3 linked regions of the Arabidopsis thaliana genome follow. The protein of the gene in region 3 interacts with the protein of the main gene of each other region in a biochemical or structural test. Each region holds a gene or a part of one and is shown on either strand. Other genes may lie near its edges.

Region 1 (8,525 bases), on a different chromosome or scaffold from region 3:
CCTCCAGGACCACCTGCAGAAAGAGCTGAAAAGCCTACAGGTACATTGATGTTCTCTGTCTCTTATATTGGAGGGACGAATACAAAGAGATATATCAAAAAGTTTATTTTAAGTTGTAAATTTATGAGACAGTGTTGACAATTTTGGGTGCTGAAAAACGTGCACTATCTCACTTGACCCTTCAGATATTAACATTCATATGTTGTTTCCCTTAGAAGATTTTGAATTTGTGTCCAGAGATTTAATTAAATTGTTGAATAGTGGAAGATCTCAAACTGAGAACTTCTTTCCCTATTCTGTTTAGTCGGACAGGACCTGCGAGGAAGATTTACAGGTGCAATTGAGGCATTCACCAGACGAAATGTTTCAAGCCAAGGCGCTCTTGGTGATCGCTCTAGACACAGATCTTCTGATGATATACCCTCTTCTGCCAAGGAAGTGGTTAGTTTGTGTTGTTATTTCTCTTGTTGTAATGATCCAAAGTAATTCTCAGAATAAGTAGGGAATCAGAACATGAGAAAGTTTGTGTGTTTTGATTTGCTGGCTTCATTTGCAGCACGAGTCTCGAAATGGAAGTACCTCAAAGAGAGGTGTGATATCAAGCACCAGACCTGGCTCATCAGCTGAACCAAGCGAGAACCACTCAAGCCGACTATTTTCAAGTGGTTCACGTCATGCCACAACCCAACGGGTTCCACAGAGCTATGAATCTGCAGCTGCAGCAAGGCCTGGGCATGAGGATGCCATTAGAAACTTCGAGCTCCTTACCATCGGCTCTGGAAAGAAGAGGAAATGAAGATAGGGAAGGAGAAGTTTGATGAGAGTGAAAAGACAACATTCGGTGCTGATGGCTCTCTCCTCTGAAAATAGGAAAGACATGTCCTCGAATTGTTTTTTAACCTTGGGAACAAGATGAGAAAGTGAGAGAGAGAAAGAGAGTTAATGTAATCTGCCTCTCCCAATCTCTCAGTCTCTGTTTTTAAAAGAATCTGTTAATAAAGCTTTAAAGTGTAACTTGTCTCATGTGTACTTCAATTTTCTCCTCTTTCTGTTCTCTAAAACTTCGATGTGGAAGTAAAATATGAAAACCTATCTCATCTAGTCATCTTCTCCAACCTTTTAAACTGTATATCGAAAACCAACGTGCCTAGTCAGTCATATTATGGTCGAATAAAAGAAAGTTTTAGACTTTGTTGACAAATCTTGTTGTACAACTTGAAAAACACTCCATGCTGATGGCTCTAGTCACTCACTTTGACTGCTGAAAGTGGTCGTACATAGCGTTTTTTTTCTCAACACCGAGAAATAGACAGGCTACATACATCTTTCAAAATAATTGAGTTAATTGGTTGTTGTTCTGTATTCAGCTAATGTAATAAAGATGAATCATCATATATTATCCATAAAAACATCAATAACAGTGGTCTTTTACTTTGGAGATAATGAGGTTGCAGAAGAATTGAGTTAATCTAGTGTGTAACTAAGAAAGTGACTGAGTACCTGTAGATAAAAGAAGACATTTGGTCAATGCATGCATGTGAGCATATTGAGAGATAGGGCTTAACTAATGAAGTTGCTTTTCTATAATAGGGCTTGGCTTTCCCTTGCAGTTGCAGGTAATCTTTGCTTCCGGGATATTGTTATTTTTAAGAGCCTTTGAAATTTTTGCCCTTGTTTTTGGTGTTCACGTTATGATGATGATCATAAAGATATTGGGGTTGGAATTGAATAGGGCTTTTGGAATTTGTCCATATGTTACAATGACAGAGAGAGGTAAGAAGTAGCTCTATGTGGCTGCAGCATTCTCTCTACTTATGTATATGTTATAAGTAGAACTAAGCATCCTTTGGGAAACACCAGTTATACGTTCTGATAAACACCACTCTGCTGAAACATCGTAGAACATATATATAGCTACAAAAGTGGTCGTACATAAGAGTTTTTTTTTTCTCAACACAGAGAAATAGACAAAGGCTGCTACATCTTTCAAAAGCTACCTTTGGACAGACAAAAGAAGAATAGAGAAAACAAGACATAGCGACTAATGTCTTCTGAGAGTGATGAATGGAGTGGAGCTGAGATGAGCTACGAGATTGGGTGATGAAAATTCATCAACTTGATGGTTCGGTGTCACTTTTGAGATGGGGGTAACTTCCATCATGTTTTCTATGGGATTAAGTGGAAGTGGGCTTGCAGGTTGAAGACTTTTATGTTGTGAGCTCTTTCCTGGTCTCAAAGTGGCGAGGTATGCGTGTCCGTTGCAGAGAGGTAGGCTCGTAGCTTGAACTGTTGATTCTTTCTCCTTTGCCACTTGAGCTCCACATGGTTCCTTCATACATTGAAATAACTGCATTTAGGATCAGAGCATAACAAACAGATAAAAATGAAAAGCTTTTTGTGCTTGTTGGTTCAAGTTTATTACCCCGAGCTTGAGAAAGGTAAAAGCCTGATTATCAGATCCAAGGTAGATCTCAATAAGCTTCCTCAAGTCAGCTAGTGTTGCATCCTTTGTAACTCTCAGTGTTGTTATGAGCTTTCGAGGGTTATCAGCAGCTGTTTCCCATTTAACATAGATATCTAGCTGACCGTTTTCCCTTTGATCGACTGAGATATTGTTTTCCTTTGCTTCTTCTACTGCTAGTGCTTCGGCCTTATTCGTAATAGAAAAGAACTGATTGTCTTTCTTATCAGGTGATGCAATATTGGCTTGATCCTCCTCCTGTCCACTGTGTTGAGACAGCTCTCTCTGATTGCCACAAAGGGTGAAAATGTTTTGAATTCTCAACCTTCTAGACGAGGCTGATTCCTTGTCATCTGCACCGTTGAAGCAGTTCTCTTTACCCAAACCTTCAGAGTTCAAACTAGGCATTGGTGTTGTTATCAAGCAGATGCTTTTATCCTCGACTATCACTTTTTCTTCCTCTTCTTCAACTTCTTCTTCTTCAAAGACAGTGCTCAAGCATACCCGGTCAGGATACATCTGTGTAAGCATATTCTCTGAAGGCTTCGGTTGCAAAAGGTTAGTGAAGTTGCTACTAATAGTGTTGCTTGATTGGTGTGAAACAGCTCCCCACACTTGCTTGACAGGTTCTGGATCACCCATGTCAAGGTCCATTGACTTCACCATACCAGGATCATCATCAGAGTAAAGACTCCTGAGTCTTTTGGCAAACCCACTAGTTTCATCAACACTTCCTCCATTTGAGCGGCGGAACTCAACCTCGATTTCCTCTAACCGTCTCCTCATCATCTCCAGTTCCTCTTGCTGCTGAACTATCCTTTCCTCCATTCTCCTTCTCTCCATCTCAACAAATTCCTCAGCCATTCTTCGGCATTCTTCAAGTTTCTTATCTAGTTCCGACTTCAAAAGCTGGGTTCTCTCGTTTACTTTCTCTTTTATCTCCTCTTCATTGGTAGCACAAGCTTCCCTCTGTGTTAAAAGAGATCTTAAAGCAGCAACTTCCTCTTCCTTCTTCTTCAGCTGCTTTTGTGCCTCATTCCTTTCTTTTTCTTTTTGCTTCTTCTCAGACTGGAGTTTGATAATGAACTCATCCATGGCAGCTATTCTTGATCCCAAAATCACAGCAGAAGCAGACTCATCACCCCCATACTTATCTTTGTTTGGAGTATGAGACCCACGAACTATGCACTTTGCTTTTGCCCCATACTCTAGAGTACAGAGAGTCTTGTGCATTTCCTTTGGATCCGGGCTCGCACACAGGATCATTAGAATCTTTGACTTGTCATCTTCAAAAGAGTCCTGCATTCAGAGAATAGAAACAACACTAAATATCTTCAAGAAAACCAAGCAACACGTAAAACATTTTCCAGAAGATAAAACAATGGAACAAGAATTTCACCTGGAGAAGCATGGTCAGCTTGCTGTCTCTAAAGGGTACATGAGAATCTCCATTTGCTATAGATTCCACAACTCGCTTCAGTGCAATATTTCCCTGGTTGATCTTAGCAGTCTGTTGAATAATGAGAGATATAAGTCAGTTGATATCCATAACTACAATAACTTTAGTAGAATCAAACAAATTGAGAGAGGAAACATTACTTGCATCTTAGCTTCAAATCCAGTCTGCCCAGCTTGGTCTATATTTTCAGAACCAGCCATGTCAACAAGCATCAATCTTCCCCCAACAGTTGGCACATCAAGTATGATCTACAAAAAGAAACAACCACACTAGTAAGTTAAAACAGAGATAAGCTGCATAAAGCTATGCATACACATCAATCAAGAAGATCGTTCTTACAATGCAGTGACTCCGAGAACTTCTTTCGTTACAAAGTGTACTCTTCACAATTCTCCGTTTCTCCACTTTGACAATTTCTTTAGAAATCTTCCCAGCCTCTGTCCCAGAAATAAAACTTGCGTTTTTCGCCTTTTTCCCCATTACTTCAAGCCTCACCTGTAACAAAACAACAAAGTACACACCTTTAAAGCCAATTCAATGTATACTAAAGTTATCAATCAAGAAACTTTACCTTAGTGCTTGCTCCTTTAGGCCAACCAATACCTAAATTGTTACTACTATTAGTCGAAAGAAGATCATAAATCTCCTCATTATAAACCTCAAGAACAGTAACTTGAACAAAAGTAACACCATCTTGATCAGAATCTCCCAATATATCTCTCAAAGAACGATACACAATCCCAGGCTCTTTCCCACAACCAAACATAGTATGACTCTTTCCAGCACCAGTAGGTCCATACATCATAATCGTGCATTTATTCCCAACTTTCACTCCTTTAATCCTCTCTTCTATAAACTTCTTGTAGAACTCTTCAAGACCTTCTTGCTCCGAGAAAGAAACACCGTCGAGTGTGAAGTCTCTGTACCCAACATCAGCTCTGACTCGTACCGTTTGATTATCTGTGTTGACTTGTAAGATCGAAGGTGATTTCTCTTTCCGGTCAGGGTAATCTCGGATCCGGCCGATTACTTCAACTGGATGCTCCGGTGGAGATGGATCTTTAGATCCGTCTGGGTTTGGGGTTTTTGAGTGGAAATTGAGACGTTGTTTTGTTTGTGGAGTTCTGATTAAGGTGTATTGAGTTTGATTTGATCTTGAAGAAGATGGTGTCGGTGCCATTGTTGAAGAAGTTTCGAAAGAGTGAAATTGAAATTGAGATTCAGAGAGCGTTAGAGAGAGAGAAAATGAAAAAGGGGATTAGGGTTTGTGAGTGATTCACGAGGTTTGAAGTTTGAAACAAAGAAACAAACATAACCGTTGTGTTGTATCTCTAAACGGCTAGTTTTTGTCCACGGGCCACTGATTATTAACAATTTTTATTTTCGGCAACTAGAATATATTTACTTTCTTTTAAAAAAGGGAAGTGAGATGGGCCTGACTTTTTGATTAAGTTAATGGGCTTTTTGTGTTTATAGAGGCCCAATGTTTGTAGTATTAGGGTTTTCTCAAATGTCTCTCTTATAAGCTCTGTTACTTTAGGTTTTTATTAAAGGTTTTGCGGCAGTGGAAGACGACGGCACGAGCTTCACCGAAGAGCGAAAATGGTGACTCTCTTCTCTTTCTTTATTTCTGCTAAATTTCTCCTTGGTTACTATTGAAGAACGAGATTATTGATTATAGATCTGCTGTGTGATTTTTCTTCTTCTTTAAGTTGTTTATTTCTGATTTTGCATCTTAAATCGAGAATTATTAGAGTCTAATTGTGATTTTTAGAATCTGTTATGTTGCATTCTGTGTTGTAAATTCGAAGATTCAGTTCACTTCGTCTCTGTGAAGAGTTTTAGCTCCAATCTACCAGAGATTCAAAATGATATAGTGTTATGTATCTTCATTTGTGTTGCTGCAATTCTGTTCTGATTTTTAGGAGAATTAAGAAGGATTTGTACTTCAGGGACTTGTAGGATTCACAAAATGGTTATCAATATTGACTAGTTGAGTAGTCAGATCGTATGGTAGCAATTAATTCTGAATGATTTAGGAGAAGCAGGAAATTTTATTAACAAGTTTTAGGGTTTGTTCTGAAGGGCGTATTTAGATTCACTTCTATGATCGTAATTAATTCTGTATGCTGTTGAAACTGTATCTTGTGGTAGTTTTAAACTTGGTTTTCTGTAGGTGAACATTCCGAAAACTAAGAACACTTACTGCAAGAACAAGGAGTGCAAGAAGCATACCTTGCACAAGGTGACGCAGTATAAGAAAGGTAAAGATAGCCTTGCTGCCCAAGGAAAGCGTCGTTATGATCGTAAACAATCTGGTTATGGAGGTCAGACCAAGCCCGTCTTCCACAAGAAGGTATACTCGCTTTTCCTTGTCTTGATCTCTAATTACTGTCTTCTATGTGAGAACCAATTTAGGATTTCAGAATTGACTCTGTGAAATATGTCTTATAGGAATGATTTGTTAATTGGACCTTGCTCATTATTTGTCTTTCTTTGGAACAGGCTAAGACAACTAAGAAGATTGTGCTGAGGCTTCAATGCCAAAGCTGCAAGCATTTCTCGCAACGCCCGATTAAGGTAATGTCTGCGACATTCTTTACCTTTGTTAATCACTCTTTAGTCTCAGTTCTGTTTCTTACACTTTGTGTGTGGTTTTTGCAGAGGTGCAAGCACTTTGAGATCGGTGGAGACAAGAAGGGAAAGGGAACATCTCTCTTTTAAGTTGTTGTTTCATCTATCTACTTTTTTTTGTTTTGTTTGGTACCTGTCCTGCTTCAATACTGTGATATACTTTGAATCTACCAGAAATGGTCCTGGTTTTTAATTTAAATAGGACTTGGTCTTATGGATGTCTTTTAATTTGGTTAACCAATCTTTCTTCATTAGGCTGCCCTTGAGTATTCTCTATAACTTGCGACAAAGTAGACATAACACTCTTTAAGTTCTAAAAACCACTTTCTATTTTCGGATCTCGAAAAATCATTTATCGTTTTGTGCTGCAAATCAGTGTTATATATGAGCTTGGCAAATTAAAATGACATATACGTATAGAAATGAATTGATAATACTAAATATTATTTGTTTTCTTCTTTTAACTTCAGCCATACTAACTTTCACTAAATTTCTTAAGAGCATACAGAAGTTTCTCCTCGGTATATTGGTGGTTCTATATTCCCCGCAACGTGAATGGAAAATGAAGGTTCTATTTTGGCTATATGATAATCATGCCATTAGCTGACCCGAAACTAATGTGTTACAATAAAACCAAATTATATAAATAGAAGAACATGTTTCCTGGCTCCTTATTGCACAAAAGAGAACATGAACAACTCTTTTTATATTACCATGATAGTCCTATGTGTTTTGGCCTTTGTGTTAGTTTTAATTGAGAGCTGTGCGGGCAAAATGGTAGATGAGATGATATTCTCTTGTGTCTGCTGTGGTGGTCCTGGCTGCTGTGGTGATAGAGGAGAAGGACCTGTTGGTGGTGGTATTGACAATGAACCGGTGAATGTAGTAGTGGTGGTGGTGGAGCCAGGCAGCCAGCGGCGGAAGATGTGGTGACGGTCAAGGATGCTACTTCAGTTTTTCTTTTTTTACTTTATTATACTTAGATTCTGGTACTATATATATTATGGGTATAGATAATTTACACTAAAGTTTTATTTCCGTTATTTAAAATTCGTGTTTTATTTAATCTCTAATTTTCTGTTTCCAAGTCGAATTCCTCTGTACTAATTATACGGCCTTTTAATTTTACAATATGAATAGCCATTTTCTACTAACACATTCTTACCTTTTAGAGGTGTTAATTTTAAGGTAAGTTTCTTCTCTACAATTACGTAATATCATTCAAATCTGTTCATGCTGACAAAAGTTAGGTACTTTTGTGTATATTTCTCGATCATTGACATTGTCTACTACGCTAATATCTAAGGAAAGTGGCATCGATTCTACTTGCTTGTAAAACATACATCGCGATGTAAGTCAAATTCTCTAATAATGTAAGAAACGAAGTGAGAAAGAAAGATAAATCCAAAAAATTTACTTGCAAATCAATAGAGATCCAAACCAACTGCGCATGCGTTAGTCAATTGATATATTGTATATAATAGAACAAATACAATTTTTGTTTTTATAAATGTATAACCAAAAACGTAAGAGCAATACTATCGAAATAAATACGTACTGCATATTACACGATAATAATAGAAAGAGATTTGATGTTTGATCACTTGGAAGTAAAATGGAGATAGAGAAACACAAAGAGCAATACGACCGGAAACATCAAGATCATTGGAAGAGATGGTGCAGTCACCGGTCCCATCATCAACGGAACAAACAGTAACATTAGTGCAACGACAACAATCGCCAAAACCGAACCCATCCCGAATCCATACTCATTCGCCATTTTCGTCTACTTTTCGATAGGAGTAGTGATCAATTCTGTGTTAGTGTCTCTAATTGGAGAAGTTATATATACACAGATTCAGACATCAAATCTACGGTTGTGTCGTTTCCCCGAGAAGTAGAAGACAACGTTTCGTGTACTAATGCATGAAACACAAAAACTGGCGAGACCTTTCACGTTAATAACCACCT
Region 2 (9,368 bases), on a different chromosome or scaffold from region 3:
CTTACTCAGCTCTCTAATTTTGGTCAAAGGCTTGTAGTTGTGGTGAGGTAGTTTATTTATTAAAATTCTTAGATATTTGGTTTTCCTGTGGCTTACCTATGTAGGCATTTGTGCTGACATAGCACCATCCAGGCATGAAAAATGGTCGGCTCTGGCTCCTCTTCCATTTGAGCTGGTCATATCTGCAGCACAAAAGACCAAGGAGTTATCTCGGGACAAAGGCTAGTCTTAATATTTGCTATGGCCAAGGTTTCCTTGATACTGTTTACTTACCAGCCTTTGGAATTGATCAGGTGGGAGTGATCAGAGCAAAACTGCTAGATTTTTAAGTGATCTACCTGGAGAAGGAAATATCGAAAGTATGCTTTCAGTTGAGATGGGTTTGAGAGAGCTGGCATCCTTAAAGGTAATATACCATTGTTTCTTTACTTTAAGGTATCTTCAAGTACATAATTAAGTTCTCATATCACAACGAAATTTAGGTTGAGGATGCTGTTATGCTTGCATTCGCACAGAAGAGAACACCGAGTTTGGTTCGTCAAGGTATGTATGCTATATCATCAATTAGTACAGTGTCAAATATAGTCTGTTTTTACTAGTCATCGAGATCAATAGTCTGTTTTCTCCATATCTTACAGATTCCAAAGGGCATGGAGAACTCAGTTTTGTAGAATCATACGGTAAGAGAAGAGAGTCCAAACATGCACAATATATCATATCAGCAGTCAAACTTGATGAAATCCTTACTATGTTATCACATTTCTCAAATGCAGAGATAAAAGAAGGGGAACAAGAAGATGTTGCCTTTAAGCAGGTAGTTTCTTTATGCCTATAATTTCATAACTATAAGGTTATAATGTGACATTTTGTTACAAGAGATGGTAATTATTGGTATATTGTGGTTGGTAACTAAATTTATCGCGATGAATCTTGATGAACCGACGTTATTTGGTTATAAATGCAGGCATGGCTTATGTACTTCTGGGGTAGAGCCAAGTTGCATAGTGTGGAAGAAGACATTGCAGATGAACGTTTCCAGTTTTGGACCAGTCGTAGTGAAGGAAAATCTCCGACTTCACAAGATGCCGTTGACGGTAATAAACTTCTTCAATTGATTTCCCCTGTGTCCTAATTCTAGTTTTAATAACACATTAACTTGTTCTCTTTACAGTGGAACGAGGTTTGTTAGAGCTAAGGAAACTAGGAGTAGAGCAACAATTATGGGAAGCTTGTCGCAAAGAAACAGATCAGCTTCTTCCATCTTCTTCTCCGACATCTACTCTTTCAAATCACAACCTTGACTCTTAATTTAAAGATATCAATAGCATTATTCTCTATTGTATAACCGAAAAAACAAATCATCATAATCTAAAATCTTAAGTTTTAAACCCAAAAAAAAAAAAAAAAAGAGAGTGCTAAAAGTCTAACCATTTCTGAAAATAAACACATGTAGTGGGAGAGATAACACCATCAGGTGAACAGATCGCTATATGCGGACAAACCCCGCAAGGAATCGAAGCAAAAGCTCCAGCTCTCGGTTCGCCATTACCGAACTTTTTCCCGGTCAACCTGTAGCAAACTTCTCCGATTCTCGTAGAAGCAAACTCATTCATTCCATTACTCTTCACCTCCATGATCAAATTATCCAAAATCAAGTTCTTAAGTATCTCCTTAGTCTGATCAACACTCAGCTTCTCCTCTTTAACAAAATACCCACACAAAACCTCCAAAGTAACAACCCTCTGCCTATGCCTCTCCAAAATCATCACACACTTGGCTTTCAAATCTTCGATTTTCGACAGGTCAAGAGCTCCATCAGTGTACCATTCACCACCAGTAAGTTCACTACAAGGCTCAAACTCCATTGCAAGATAATGTTTGACACCTTTGTTGTTCATGTTTGCTACTTCTTTGATGAGATTCTTCTTCCGTAGAGAAGCGATCAATCGAGTAACTATAGTTGCTGGGATCGTTTTCTCGCGTTTCAATTCGAACATAGTTGCGCCTCTTCCTTGGTTTATTCGAATCAGATCCAGAAGCTTCTTCTCGTGTGGCTCGTTTAGATCACCTCCCGATGATTTCGGATCCGGACGTTTTCGTTTACTCATTCTTACAAATTCACCAAACTGCAAAAATCAATCGGAATTGTGACACGGTAATTGAGAGAATTCGTGTGATTTACGAAAAGGATTGATCTATACTATAAGAAGGTGATAAAATCGATGATTCTGAGATTACAAAGGATTTTGGTGAAGATTCAGATTCAATTTACCTGGAGATTGGTTTACTGGAGATGAACAATCCGATGAATATAGAGGCTTTAGGAGAGTTCAGAGAACGGAGAAGTCGTCCGTGACTGGAACGGATACGAAAACCCTAGGTCTGCTTTTAGCTAAATATATAAGACAGAGAAGAAAGTCAAATATATTAGTGTGGGCCTAAACTAATACACAACAAAAGGTAACTCGAAGTGGATTGGTACATATTGTTCAGGATTTTTGTTAATTCAATATGAGATTTCGCTATACAAGTTGGTTTAGATAAAAACATGTAGATTAAAAATATTTATTTTTAAAAAATTCAATTTATTTTTTAAAAATAGAAATAATTATAAAGTATTAAAATAATATATAATTTGCATAAAATTTTGAAAATAATTTATATTGTAAAACAAAAAATTTGGTCCAAAACAATTTATATTGTAAAACAAAGAAAGTATATATTTTTGATTTTTTACTAATATTTATGCTTATTAATTTTCAGAAATAAGTTGACAAAAAAATTCTATAAATATTTTATTTTATTAGACTGAACTTTTTCAGATTAAACCATAAACTTTAGTGAATATTTTTTAAAATCTAAAACCATTTTTGTATAAATGTTGTTGATTTCGACCGAAATAGTTTCATACAAAATATAGTTTTAAATAATAACACAAAACGGAAATAAAATAAAATTAGAAGACAGTTCTGTAAATAATAATATGTTTATTTTTTTAAATCTTGAATAATGAGAATAAAATGATCAGAGTCTTTATTACAATAATAAATTTATGAAATTAAATATCCGTCTTCTTTCTTCGTCCGACAAGTTCATATTAATTAAAGATACCTTGAGACTTTCCTCTTCTCAGATACAAAGCTGACATTTGAAGAAAAAGACATTTCTAAAATTAAACAGAACCTAAGCTTTTGCAATGGCGGAACCTGAGAAGAAGCGAGATCAACCATTTTCTCAAGTAATCATCCTTCATTTTTCCCCCACAAATTTAATAATCTATCATTATCACCCCCACCTTTTGCGTTCATCATTACCCCCACATTTATCTCTCCCTCTTTTCGCAGAGCCAGATTTTGATTTTGATTTTTTCCCCTTTTTCTCTGATCTGATATTATGGTGCTATCGCAGGAAAAAGACGAAGAGAAAGATCTATACCTTGTTCACGACGAGCACGAGTCTCCTCTTCCTCTCACCGTCACTTCTCGTGTAAATTTCTCCGATCCTAAATTCGTTTTAGGTTTTAGGGTTATATTAATAGTCTCGTCTTAAAAATTGGAAGACTTTTGGAATTTGCAGGTTTTGTACATGTTAGGAGATATAGCATCTGGTCCAGCTTATAGGTTTACTCAATGGTTGGATTTAGTTCGTAAACGAAGTGCTACTTACGGATCCTCTGGCTTCCCTCACCGCCTTCACCGCATCGATGATATGGTCACTAGGTTAACACTTTCTCTGACTTTTTGTCAAGTACTTGGTTTGTTGATTATGATTTTGGAATCTTATGAGTATATCAGAACAAAGGTTTCTAAATTAGGATATTAGTCTTCATGTCAGTTGATACAAGTATTATCCAGTGCAGGAGAGAGGAATACTGATCCTAAAAGTCCACCAAGTAGGCAGAGTTCAGAGATTAGTTTGTGGGAAAGGCTTGGTAAAGCTTCTACTGTGGATATTGATTCGAGCTGTTTTTCATGGAATATGTTGTCTTCACTTCATCATACTGAACATAGTAGTAGCACTGATCATTCTGAAGAAGACCAGAGTAAACCACTTGAGGTATATATATCATTATGATCTTGGACTGGTGATGCTAGGAGGATCTTTTGACACTATTAGATGTCTGTACAGGTTACTGTGAATTCTGGAGGAGTTGTTTTCTTTGCCCTGTTCAATAGTTCCAGCTCTGAAGATGCCTCTCGTAAGGAAGAAGCAGCAGTTATTAAATTTGCATCATCGAGGATGGCCACGCAATCAGAACGTCTAGGTTATGAGTTTTCCAAGTGGCTAGGGGTGCAGATTCCGCAGGTGCTTCTTTTCTTTCTTGTAGTTTTTTAAAAATGTAGTAATGGTTTTGCTCATTTCACTTTCTTTCTAGAATTTTCAAGTAATGAGTAATCATCATGCGACAGGCTAGAGTAATTCACAGCTGTAATCCTGAGTGGACACTGATCAAAGAAGCCACTGAAAAAGCACAAGCTAAAGCGACTTCGGAGGGGGACGAGGTTGGTGAAATGACATGTTCAGAACTTCTGGAAGCCCTTGAGCTCAGCCGTTGTCTTCTCTTAATGAGGTGAAAGCACAAGATTCATCTTTATTCTTTATCACTTTTCTCCATTTTTTACTTGGACCAGCAGCATAATGTTGACAGTTTTTTTGTTCCTTTGCATTAGTGTTTAACTAGATGATAGTAAACCATTTGAAATATGAATATACCATTTGATAATATATTTTAAGAAAAATAAAAGATGTTATGTTATTAGATATAAAAATTGTATTATAAAATAAGAAAGATCTAAATTACAAATATGAGGTGGAATTATTTTATTGGATAAAATTTGATAACAACAGTTAAACAGAAATCTAATCTTGCTTTAAATGATAATAAATATGAGAGAAATAGCTGAACAGAAATCTAGTCTTACCTAATAGGATTATGTAAAATCTAGTCTTACCTAATAGGATCATGTAGGCACTTTCAAATTTACAATTTTTAATGTGATGTTTGTATAGAACCCCTCTTCTTAGCCCAGGATTCTCTATATGTGATTACAGTTATGTTCATGGATGTCCAATGCTGGAGAGCATGAGTAGTTTTGAAACTGAAGAAAAAGCAGAGAGAGCTGCTGCAGCTCTAGGGAGAATCTTGGTGTTAGATCTAGTAATTAGGAATGAAGACAGATTACCGTGTCGTCAGCTGAGATGGCGTGGCAACCCGGCAAATCTGTTACTGACAGACAGAATTGTGTCTTCTGCAAAGCATCATGAATGTTCATTTGATGAAGCTTTTGATTCCGCCATCAAACGGTACCATCCAAAGGACTATAGATCCATTCAAAGGGAAAGAAGAGCTTCTTCCGTAGATAGCAGATCCAGGTTGAGTATCAGTGATCAAATGTTGGTCTCACAGGCTTCTGATTTTTCTGATATAACGGAATCACCTAGATCATATGATACTGGTTTAATGAGTCCAATGTCTGATAGATCAGTAGCTGCCGATTTTCACCTCGTTGCCATAGACTCGGGTGTTCCACGGCGGCCTCCTGCTGGAAAACGGGCAAGCGACCAAGAAATTTATCCAAGATTAGTTGAGTTACTCCTCAATAGTAGCCAATATTCTTCGAATTTGTTACATGAAATAACAGAAGGAAGTTTAGGATATCCACAGGCAGAAGATGGTGAAGAAACATCTAATGTTCGATCTGTAGTAACACCAGTTGTACGCGAGTTTCGAAATGGTTTCCGAGCTGGTCTCAGGGATTTGCAAGAGTTTCACATCTTCCTTGTCACCCTTCATCAGAAATTAGATGTGTTGCTTCGGGCATTTTTTAGTATGATGGACAAAACAATGTGTGCAGATTTTGACAGAGAAGACTTTGCTGTTCCTGAGTCACCTTCACATACTCATGGGCATGAGGTGAATCATTATCCATCTCCCTCAAAAGATCGGGTGCCTAGTGATAACAGCTCTGATCACAGTGAGTCAGATATGCAAAAATCAGTTCCTAGGACACCAAATTCAGAAAACAAAGAAGACGGGTCTTCGCCTAAGTCACGTGAAAGTTGGCACGGAAGATCCGGTAAAGGTGGAGAATCTCTTAGCAGTCAGCGTTTGGCAGCAAAGCTCCGTGACTTCCATAAGTTTGCAAAGGTTTGTCGCTTCGAGCTTTGATCACTATGTTCTAATTTGTAAAGTAGGTTCAGATTTTTTATAAAAAAAAAAGTTTGTCTTCTTGGATGGAAGTTCTCAGCCATTTTCTCTTTCTTCACTCTCAATATTTTCATGGTGCGTCCAGGTTGATGCTGAGTCTAATAAAGAACTAGACCAGTGGAATGAAACACTGCGGAATGAAGTGATGAAACTTTGCCAAGAGAACGGTTTCAACACTGGTTTTTTTGAGGGCAGTGATAATAACAGTTGCACAGATGCTTATGAGCTAAAGGTATCATGAAGTTTTATTATTTCCTTTTATCCTGAATATGATCTTCATTATATAATATAGTTTTTGGCAACTGAACTCAAACATTGTCTCTCTTGTTTGCATTCTCCTTGATAACAGGTTAGACTTGAGCATATTCTTGAGAGGATATCATTGATTAGCAAAGCTGCTAATACAGAGAAACCATCAATGATACAAGAAAATCTTTTTATCGGGGGAGGATTGGCTGCAAGGTCGATTTACACTCTTCAGCATTTAGGTATAACTCATGTTCTATGTTTGTGCGCTAATGAAATCGGGCAATCGGATACTCAATACCCGGATCTCTTCGAGTACCAAAACTTCTCAGTAAGTGAACCTGTCTTATATGTCTCTTAAAAGGAATTGGTAAAAAAAAATGCATCTATAAAGATGATCGTTTTCTTCTTGTGTCTTCCCTTTGACCAGATAACCGATGATGAAGACTCAAATATCGAGAGCATCTTTCAAGAAGCTCTCGATTTCATCAAGCATGGCGAAGAAACTGGTGGCAAGATTTTAGTTCATTGCTTCGAAGGTCGGAGTAGAAGCGCAACAGTAGTGCTTGCTTACCTAATGCTCCAAAAGTAAGTTGTTGGGGACAAATAAAATTTGTTGGAAATTTTCAATACTTGTTCTCATTTGTTTACTGGTGGGAACAATAAATAGGAAGCTCACACTTTTAGAAGCATGGAGCAAACTGAGGAAAGTTCATAGACGAGCTCAACCGAATGATGGATTTGCGCGGATCTTAATAAACCTCGACAAGAAATGTCACGGGAAAGTATCAATGGAGTGGAGACAGAGGAAACCGACAATGAAAGTGTGTCCGGTTTGTGGAAAGAACGCAGGTCTAAGCAGCAGTTCTTTGAAGCTTCATCTCCAGAAATCTCACAGGAAACTGTCTTCGGGAAGTGTTGACAGTGCAATGAACATGGAGATTCAAAAGGCTTTGGAGGCTCTTAAACTCAGCACTGGCCGTGGCTCAAGTGCTAGTTCCAATTCTTTCCAATCTCATCCTGGTTAGAGAGTCCGGTTTGGTTTTATCTATGGTTTGTCCCGGTTAAAGTCTCTCTAATCGTACATCTCTGAACAAAAACATTGATCTGTTTTGTTTTGTTTTTTACTGTAACGATCTTTGTACTTGTATACGCAAGTAAATAAAAAGCCGAAAAGCTGAATAGAAGTCACTGGGAAACGTCATAATAAGCTAATGTAACATTTGTAACTCTTTTTCCCTTGTGCTTTGTGTTAAGAAAGTAAGATTTGGCCCAAAAATGTCATAAAACTAAAAAATTGATTGCGTAATCAAACAAAAGTTCCCTTTCATTTTCGATATAATAAACTAAAAAAATTTGACATTCTTTCCGGCGTGCACATTGATGAAAGTGAACTCTTGTTAACTTTCATTTGTGACTTGTATGGAGTACAAGACGTGCGTGATGTGCCAGACGACGGAGAAAGATGAAGGAATCATGAGGTGGTATATGTATGAAGAATGGCTATGGAAAGCAGACAAAGTAAAAATTGATTGAAATATTGGGGAACATAAATGCAAATCTAATTTGATGTTAAATCTATGTGGGAAATCTGATAACGGTGGATCGTCTTTGTGGACCAACTTGGTGTTAGCTTTTTTTCCAACTACTTATTAATTTATCCATTCCTTTGTTAATGACTAGTCTCTCCTTTAAGTCATCCTTTAAGTTGCTTTTGTATCTCCACTTTATTCTCTGCCTTCTTTTTCATGGGAAAGTTGCACATCAGAAGCACCAATGAACTTGTAATGAACTCCTTCAAAAAAATTTCTGATATTATATCTTAAGCGATGTCCTCTCTCCTACATTTTTGTTTGTTTATTGTTTACCAATTTCTTGAATAACAAGTTAATTTGTTTCTTCAAAAAGTGTAGAAGCCCACTTTTGTAACGGACGTTAAGATTGCGCTTTAGTTGGTGAAATTTTATATGTTAGGTAGTTCACGTATTTTGTTGTTTGGAGAAATATTAATAAATGGCATTAAATGGAAATCGAATCCATTCTTTGAAGCAGTGTGGGTCCAAACATGGAGCACAAGTGTTATAAAAGACTTGAGGCTGAGAAGTAACGAAGAGACATGAAAAAGAGGACAATGACCAAAGGTGGTACATAACACACGTATGACTCGTCCTTACTTTGCTGTCCACAAAATTCTCTCATAAAACTAAAACCTACCACCGATTTTTTCTCCTCTCTCTCTCTCTCTCAAAATCTGCCCCGGCTCTTCTTTATCGGACGCGTAGTATCAATATCGATATTTTAACCCCGTGATCTATGCTTATCTTTTCTTGGTTATATGGTTATAGAGAACCGTTATCTGTTTTTGATACCTGTAAATAATATAATAGAAATGCTTCTTAGACCCGACATTCGTAAATAATATAATATCGAGAATCAAATAAGTTACATGATTCGGATTTTCATTAGGAATTGGACAACTATCGAGAATGGTTATGGCATATTTATACATGTTGACCACTTATTTGTGAGTGGTTATTATCCCGGATATAAAATGATCATCTAAGTGAAAATTTTTGAATCCGTCCAAACATTTCTACTATTGATCCGAATGACAAAATCAAGATAAACTAGTACTCCCTCTATTCATAATAGTTTGATGTTTTGGATTTTGACGCTTATTAAGAACTCAATTATTGTTTAATCATTTTAACATTTTTCTTAGTGTTATAAGACAATAAAAATAAAGAAAAATGCTAGAAAATCAATTTTTATGAAACAAAAAACAAAAGCTAGAGCATCAAACTTTTAGGAACATATGGAGTATTTGGTATCAAACGATTTCGTCTATACGATATGGCAATTTTAAGCGTATATGTCTCTTTCTAGCTTTGAAAGTTGATTTGATATAGAAGAA
Region 3 (7,126 bases):
GGATGATGTTTTGAGGTTAGATTGAATTTGTTGAACTTAGTGAGGTTTTGTGAGCCTAATTGTTTTCTTACAGATATATATATTACAATGATTCTTTTGTCCATGTTCTTAGAAGTTGAATCCTAGATAAATCGGAATATCCAGATACTTGTTCTATCGATATTTTAATACAGTTTTACACTACAGTTTTATTTTACAAATTCATTAATGTTACAATTTCTTTTAGCAATTAAAAAATAAATAGAAAACCATCAAATTTTACAAATTCACAAAAAGGAAAACACGGTCGAACCGGTTCTATACAAAAAGAAAAAACCTTCCCTTTATTATTTGCTTCTTCTCTTAAGAAAAACAAAAGTTCGCTTACTCTCTCGTTAAAGCTCTCAGAGAGGTTAGGGTTTCATCATTATCAATTCCATGCTTTTGCAATAATAACTTGGAAAATTTTATCGAGTTTTCGTCTTCCTCTTCTTCTTCTTAGGTTATCTCGATCTGGTTGGTTCCTTTAACAATCTGTAACTATGGCGGCAGAACCGAAGGCAGCGACTGCTGAAGTAGTAAAGATGGATCTGTTTGAGGACGACGATGAGTTCGAGGAATTTGAAATTAACGAAGGTAAAATTTTTGTTGTTATTACTTGTTTCTTCTTCGATTTTTGAATCGATTCATCATCGGTTTTATAGTCTTAACGATGAAGCTACGATGCCATAGATATAAGAGCGATTTTCATTAGCAACTGATTGATAGATACAGGCAATGCTTTATATGGTTGAATTGAGAATTATTTGTATGAATTGTATCAGATTCTGATTTTAATAGATTTTGATTTGCAAGTTAGTTGATTCTTCAGATTTAACTAGTAGTTGTATTGAAAGGATTGATAAAGATGGACTAGTGTATGAGTTGAGTAGGTCTGATATGAAAACGAATCTGTTTGATGTCAATTTCAGGTGTGAGATAGGTTGATAGATCTTTTTTCATATAGTTCTAACAATGAAGCTATAGTCTCATACTTACTAAATGGATAAAAGAGCAGTTTTTTTCAGCAACTTATTGATGATTAGGTTTAGTCTTAATAGTCAACGCTTCATTTACTAAAGCCTAAAGGTTATTGAGGATTTGGGAATTATTTGAGGGCATTGAGTAGCCTAAAGGTTTAACAGATTTTGCTTTGTGATTTTACTAATAGTTTTATTGAAAGAATTGATAAAGAGGGTTTCTGTTTGTATGAGTTGTGTAGTTGGATGTGGAATGGATGTTTTTGCTGTCCTTTTACGGTCAAAGTAAATACTGATGGATCTTTTTATGTTGGGCAGATTGGTTGGAGAAAGAAGAAGTGAAGGAAGTTAGCCAGCAGTGGGAAGATGACTGGGATGATGATGATGTCAATGACGACTTCTCACGTCAGTTAAGGAAGGAGCTTGAGAATGGTACTGACAAGAAATAAGGTCGAAGATTGTGAAAGACAGGTCTTCACATTTAGGAAATCTTGGTTTTCTTTTATGATCTGGAACTTTGTTTGTACTGCATCCTTTGGTTTATGTTATCGGTTCTGCTTTTCCTTTGCACATTTTACTATTCCCTGGATGGAAATTTCTTATCTTTGAAGATGATAAATTTAAACTGGTAAGATCATCATCTTCTCTCAACATCCATTGCGGTGTGTTCCGTATGGACATGGATTAGTTACTAACTTACTATGTACATTTTCTTACAAGGATCTTTATTAGAGCGTAAACGGTATTTGAAATGCCAAAAATCCTTCAAACTATGTATTGAGATGCACTAGAAATGCAATCCTTTAGTAAACACAAATGAGAAATAAAAGGGGAGAGACCCGTAAACATCACAAAATAACTGTAGAGATCACATTCACAAAGACATAATTACTGTACTTCACAAGAAAGAAACAAGGGAACACACACTCTTGTGTCTTTCTAATACTCATCGCCTTCTTCGTCGTCGTCCTCCGCTCCTTCTCCACCAACTTCCTCATAATCTTTCTCGAGGGCAGCAAGATCCTCACGAGCCTCAGAGAACTCTCCTTCTTCCATACCCTCTCCTACATACCAATGGACAAAGGCTCTTTTGGAGTACATGAGATCAAACTTATGGTCTATACGTGAGAACACTTCAGCAACTGCAGTATTATTGCTGATCATGCAAACCGCTCGTTGAACCTTAGCCAGGTCACCACCTGGAACAACGGAAGGCGGCTGGTAGTTTATCCCGCACTTGAATCCAGTTGGGCACCTAATTTTAACATGACCAAAGATTTGAAATGTGTAGTAGAAGGAGACTTAAGAGAGAAAGAAACACTAGTAGTGTGAGCTCTTTACCAGTCAACAAACTGAATTGTTCGTTTGGCTTTGATGGCAGCAACGGCTGTATTGACATCCTTGGGCACAACGTCACCACGATACATCAAACAGCAAGCCATGTACTTGCCATGCCTAGGGTCACATTTAGCCATCATATTGGAGGGTTCAAAGACGGAAGTCGTGATCTCAGGGACCGAAAACTGCTCATGGTAGGCCTTTGCAGATGAAATCACAGGTGCATAAGAGGAGAGCATGAAGTGGATCCGAGGGTAAGGTACAAGGTTGGTCTGGAACTCGGTGATGTCCACATTGATGGCACCGTCAAATCTTAGAGAAGTTGTAAGCGAAGAGATGGTTTGGGAGATCAAGCGGTTCAAATTGGAGTATGTAGGCCTCTCAATGTCTAAAGATCTCCTGCAGATATCGTATATGGCTTCATTGTCCAAAAGAACAACAACATCTGTGTGTTCGAGAAGAGAATGAGTCGAGAGAACACTGTTATACGGCTCCACAACTGCTGTAGAAACCTGAGACCAAGAAAAGAGTTTGAACATTTTATCTTTCTGCAGTGAAGAGTTTAAGTATCTGTGGAAGGTTACCTGAGGAGAAGGGTAGATGGTGAAACCGAGTTTTGATTTTTTTCCAAAATCTACGGACAAGCGCTCCAACAGTAAAGAACCCAAACCAGAACCTGTTCCACCCCCAACAGCATTGAATACCAAAAATCCTTGTAACCCTGTGCAATTGTCTGCCAATTTCCTCAGCCTTTCAAGGCAGGTGTCAACAATTTCCCTTCCAACTGCATCAATGGAAAAATATTTCAATACCATATGAACCAGTCATGGTTAAATATGCCGTTTCTCGTCATAAGCAATGGATGAAACAGAGCCATTTTGAGCAAAGCAAATAAAGAAGACAGAGTTCTTTGTTACAATGGCAAGCAATCATTTGGACATTGATACCCTACTTGTTAGCTTATACATGAATAGTTATCTAGATATGAAGTACCCGGTATTACCACGAAAACACATGACACAATTTACAACAACCGAATAAAATTGCATTAAAGCTCACACAATTACGTTATTAAATTTTGTCTTAGCTTTGTTAGACTCTCTAGTACAAAACTCAAAACTCAGACATACATACTTAAGAATGTCCAATGTTTTGCTAGTTACCGTAAAACAAAACGAAAGAACATATGTTTTCAGTTTAAAATGGCAATGTTCGGTAACCCCTGAAGGTGGATCAATCTAGTAAGGCTAAGAAGAATACTATAAAAAAACAAGAGAGGTGGAAAATGTTAATAACCAGTGTAATGGCCTCTAGCAAAGTTATTGGCTGCATCTTCTTTGCCAGAGATAAGTTGCTCGGGATGGAAAAGCTGTCTGTAAGTGCCGGTTCTTACTTCGTCAATGACGGTTGGTTCGAGATCAAGAAACACAGCTCGAGGCACATGTTGGCCTGAGCTTGTCTCGCTAAAGAATGTGTTGAATGCATCATGACATGCACCAACAGTACTATCACTGCAAAACAAATCCAATTATTAAAAAACATGAACTTGTCAAAGTTTTTTTTATTACTACCCTAAATCATCAGAGCCATGTCAATAACAATAACAAGAACAAAAATTCGAACCCACAAACAATAAAGATGGTCATAAACTAGAGCGATGAGTATAAAGACCTGGGCATGGTGCCATCGGGTTGGATACCATGTTCGAGACAATAAAGCTCCCAACAAGAATTTCCGACCTGAATACCAGCTTGTCCGATATGAATGCTAATGATCTCCCTCATGTTCGAAAATTTCTCAGAGACTTCTTCTTCTTCTTCCTCTTTCTCTCTGTTTTCGCGAGGAAGAAGGTTGTTTTGTTGGCTCTCCCGCTTTTAGATGTGAAAGGACAAAAAGCTGGAATGGACTGGACGAACTTAAAAAGGGGCCGGCCCCGAAAAGTCTCTTCCGCTCGAAATGCCTAATTAAAGAATTCACCAATCCTGGGTCGATATTTTCTTTTTTGGATTTTAATCCATTCCATTTCTGTTTTCTTCTTTTTTCCCCCATAAAACTTTTAAAACATTTAGTTAAAAAAAAAACTTTTAAATTTTCCAATTGAAATCATCCTGTTAAATAAAGTATAATTTTTAAAATCAGTAACTCATAACATTGTATCACATGTAAAGTTTATTTATTCTTTCGTCCCCTTCCACATATCTCAAATCTTAAATATTTTTTTAAACATTTTCTATAAAAAAATTAACTTGTGTCAAAAAAAATGAAACATTTCTAAAATAAAATAAAAAATACTCATTTTCTCGTTCATTTATTTTCTCATCCCCTTCCACATATCTCAAATCTCAAATATTATTTTTTTGTTTAGTTTTAAGTTTTTTTTTTATTGTTGTCGTAGTATGAGTTTAAAAATATCATTGTAAAAGCTTAGTTCTAAATTTTAATTTTAGACTATGAAATTTACATTGTTTTTTTGGTTTTTTTTTTTGTTTTAAAATAAATCTGCACTGTCTATTTTTAATTACATCTTATATATAGTAATTCTCTCATCATCTTCCACTATATTCATGTATATATATATATATATATATCTTATATTGTTATATGGGTTGAAAATCAAAGAATTCATCATGGTAAGAATTTGGTTCTAAATTTATTTTGGAAAGTATGGCATATAGCTATCATTGTTTCTAATTTTTATTTTATTTCTAACACCATACAAGATTATATTTATTTTTTAATTTAGATACTTTTAATTTTAATTTACATATGTAAAAAGTTAAAGTTTTTTTATTTTATTTGCTAATCTTTTTATACTTTCAATTAAAGAGTTTTTAGAAAAAGAATCTATGTAACCACGATTATATGACCAATTATATACAAAATCTATTCTAATGCTATATTTTTAAGTTATGAAATATGCTTAGTTTTGCAAAAGATCTTTTTTAATTAATAAAAGGTTTTTTTTTATAAAGACTTTAATCTTAAAAATTTTAAATGGTAGCAGCAAATATAATAGCAAAACAGAAAAGAAAAAAAGAAGGGGGAGGGAGGGATGCGGCGACCACAGAATCGAAACGAGTGGAGACAGGCAGTAATAAACACTTTGGTCTTTTTTTTATCCACTTATTAAAGAAATGGGTAATGGTAGTCGTGTATAAAATTGAGAGAGAGGTGTGTATAGAAACGAGAGGCGAAGATTGCATCGAACGCCGAAATTGGGCCTACAGTAATCCCAAATTCTAATCCTTATCCTCTTCTCTCTCGTTTTTATTCTCCTTCTTCTTCAATCTCTTGGTCTCCTCGACTCCTCCCAGCGCTTCAATATCTCCCAAGACCCAACCATCGGAGGGAGGGGGCGAGATGATGGGATTGAGTTCCTTGGTCTTTACCGAGTTTCACAGCCTCGGCTTCTCTGACCTTATAGTTTTTGTTGCGCCACTCTGGATTGCTGTGGCTGCCGGTGTTTTGGTTGGTTGGGTTTGGAGGCCCAAGTGGGCTTATCTCGATTCTAAACTCTTGTCCAATTCACCTAAATTCCTCAATCTTCAGCTTCCCACTTCCATCCTCAAAACTTCTTCTCACCACGTTAACCCCAGGTAAGGTTGAGATGATTTCATTGATGTAACCCGTTTCCCCACTTGTCTCTCTTTCTTTCTTACTCTTCTGCTAAATAAATAACTCTGCTTCTCTTTGGGTCGCAGCCTTTCTTCCAAAGAGAAAACTGGGTTTGTAACGGACGATGATTTTAGGCATCTATGGAAGTTGGTTGAGGTCAAAGATGGCGGTCCTTGTTGGATTCAAATGATGGACCGATCAACCCCAACCTTCTCATATCAAGCTTGGAGGCGAGATCCTGAGGTACCCCCCTCCCTCCTTCCTTTAAGTTTAGTTTAACATGTTCCTCCAAGTTGAATCATTTTTTGTATGATGCCAGAATGGGCCTCCCCAGTACCGTAGCAGAACTGTGTTTGAGGATGCCACTCCCGAGATGGTCAGGGACTTCTTTTGGGATGATGAGTTCCGTTCCAAGTGGGATGATATGCTTTTGTATTCTTCTACTCTCGAGCGTTGCAAGGACACGGGCACTATGGTTGTGCAATGGGTGCGAAAGGTCGCTACTTGTTTCTCTTTTTTCTTCGTTCTGTTTGCTTCTTCTCCCTTCTCTTTACTCATATCTTCCGCTACTGTTGCAGTTCCCCTTCTTTTGTAGCGACAGGGAGTATATTATAGGCCGTCGTATATGGGATGCTGGCCGAGTCTTTTACTGCATTACTAAGGTATTCCATTCTTTCGCTGCTAGTAACCAAGCAAATATCCAACTTATTCTTCTAGTGCGAGCTATTAAACATGTGTTCTTCTTGTGAATATTGTCTTTTAAATTCACTCTTTTTATTCATGTGTTTATAGTAAGTATGCTCCTTTGTATTTGCATCAGGGAGTACAATACCCGTCTGTACCTAGACAAAACAAGCCAAGGCGAGTCGACTTGTACTATTCAAGCTGGTGTATCCGTGCAGGTACTACTAAGCAAGTTGTCTCTGTTATTTAAGTGTTGTTTAGTTTCTCAAATGGATATTACCATGGTGTAGTTGAATCAAAAAGAGGCGATGGTGAGATGACATCATGTGAGGTACTACTATTTCACCATGAAGATATGGGAATACCGTGGGAGATTGCAAAGCTTGGGGTGAGACAGGGTATGTGGGGTGCAGTCAAGAAGATTGAGCCAGGCCTACGTGCATATCAGAGGGCTAAAGCAGCGGGAGCAGGTTTATCCCCGAGTGCCATAA

Evidence for each region.
Region 1: the proteins of TUA1 (region 3) and AT4G14330 form a complex in vitro, tested with the Arabidopsis thaliana proteins (one study listed by BioGRID).
Region 2: of the proteins of TUA1 (region 3) and PHS1, one has a biochemical effect on the other in vitro, tested with the Arabidopsis thaliana proteins (one study listed by BioGRID).

What each region holds. Positions count from the first base shown.
Region 1 is NC_003075.7:8,240,803-8,249,327, reverse strand, and holds AT4G14330 (P-loop containing nucleoside triphosphate hydrolases superfamily protein), read right to left. Parts: upstream 5,276-8,525; 5' UTR 5,101-5,275; coding exon 4,492-5,100; intron 4,416-4,491; coding exon 4,260-4,415; intron 4,169-4,259; coding exon 4,061-4,168; intron 3,972-4,060; coding exon 3,861-3,971; intron 3,761-3,860; coding exon 2,423-3,760; intron 2,330-2,422; coding exon 2,042-2,329; 3' UTR 1,834-2,041; downstream 1-1,833. Other genes in the region: CKI1 (casein kinase I), read left to right, coding at 1-40, 305-441, 557-796; AT4G14320 (Zinc-binding ribosomal protein family protein), read left to right, coding at 5,523-5,525, 6,097-6,276, 6,426-6,500, 6,585-6,606, 7,303-7,487; AT4G14315 (uncharacterized protein), read right to left, coding at 8,155-8,334. UniProt on the Arabidopsis thaliana protein: Probable plus end-directed motor protein that may contribute to the transport of Golgi-derived vesicles in the phragmoplast.
Region 2 is NC_003076.8:7,995,113-8,004,480, forward strand, and holds PHS1 (dual specificity protein phosphatase family protein), read left to right. Parts: upstream 1-3,084; 5' UTR 3,085-3,196; coding exon 3,197-3,238; exon of another isoform or gene 3,239-3,393; coding exon of another isoform or gene 3,394-3,408; coding exon 3,409-3,486; intron 3,487-3,576; coding exon 3,577-3,719; intron 3,720-3,854; coding exon 3,855-4,056; intron 4,057-4,128; coding exon 4,129-4,305; intron 4,306-4,409; coding exon 4,410-4,570; intron 4,571-5,052; coding exon 5,053-6,148; intron 6,149-6,293; coding exon 6,294-6,440; intron 6,441-6,557; coding exon 6,558-6,785; intron 6,786-6,884; coding exon 6,885-7,042; intron 7,043-7,124; coding exon 7,125-7,482; 3' UTR 7,483-7,736; downstream 7,737-9,368. Other genes in the region: AT5G23700 (coiled-coil protein), read left to right, coding at 105-221, 294-406, 483-543, 639-814, 965-1,094, 1,172-1,308; AT5G23710 (DNA binding / DNA-directed RNA polymerase), read right to left, coding at 1,416-2,108. UniProt on the Arabidopsis thaliana protein: Probable dual specificity phosphatase that binds and dephosphorylates MPK18, modulating the organization and dynamics of cortical microtubules.
Region 3 is NC_003070.9:24,047,108-24,054,233, reverse strand, and holds TUA1 (alpha-1 tubulin), read right to left. Parts: upstream 4,229-7,126; 5' UTR 4,121-4,228; coding exon 4,008-4,120; intron 3,848-4,007; coding exon 3,633-3,847; intron 3,121-3,632; coding exon 2,921-3,120; intron 2,849-2,920; coding exon 2,340-2,848; intron 2,255-2,339; exon of another isoform or gene 2,254-2,254; coding exon 1,938-2,253; 3' UTR 1,747-1,937; downstream 1-1,746. Other genes in the region: AT1G64760 (O-Glycosyl hydrolases family 17 protein), read left to right, coding at 1-14; DSS1(I) (deletion of SUV3 suppressor 1(I)), read left to right, coding at 522-615, 839-961, 1,317-1,447; CP5 (Polyketide cyclase/dehydrase and lipid transport superfamily protein), read left to right, coding at 5,697-5,932, 6,038-6,194, 6,271-6,447, 6,530-6,613, 6,772-6,853, 6,926-7,126. UniProt on the Arabidopsis thaliana protein: Tubulin is the major constituent of microtubules, a cylinder consisting of laterally associated linear protofilaments composed of alpha- and beta-tubulin heterodimers.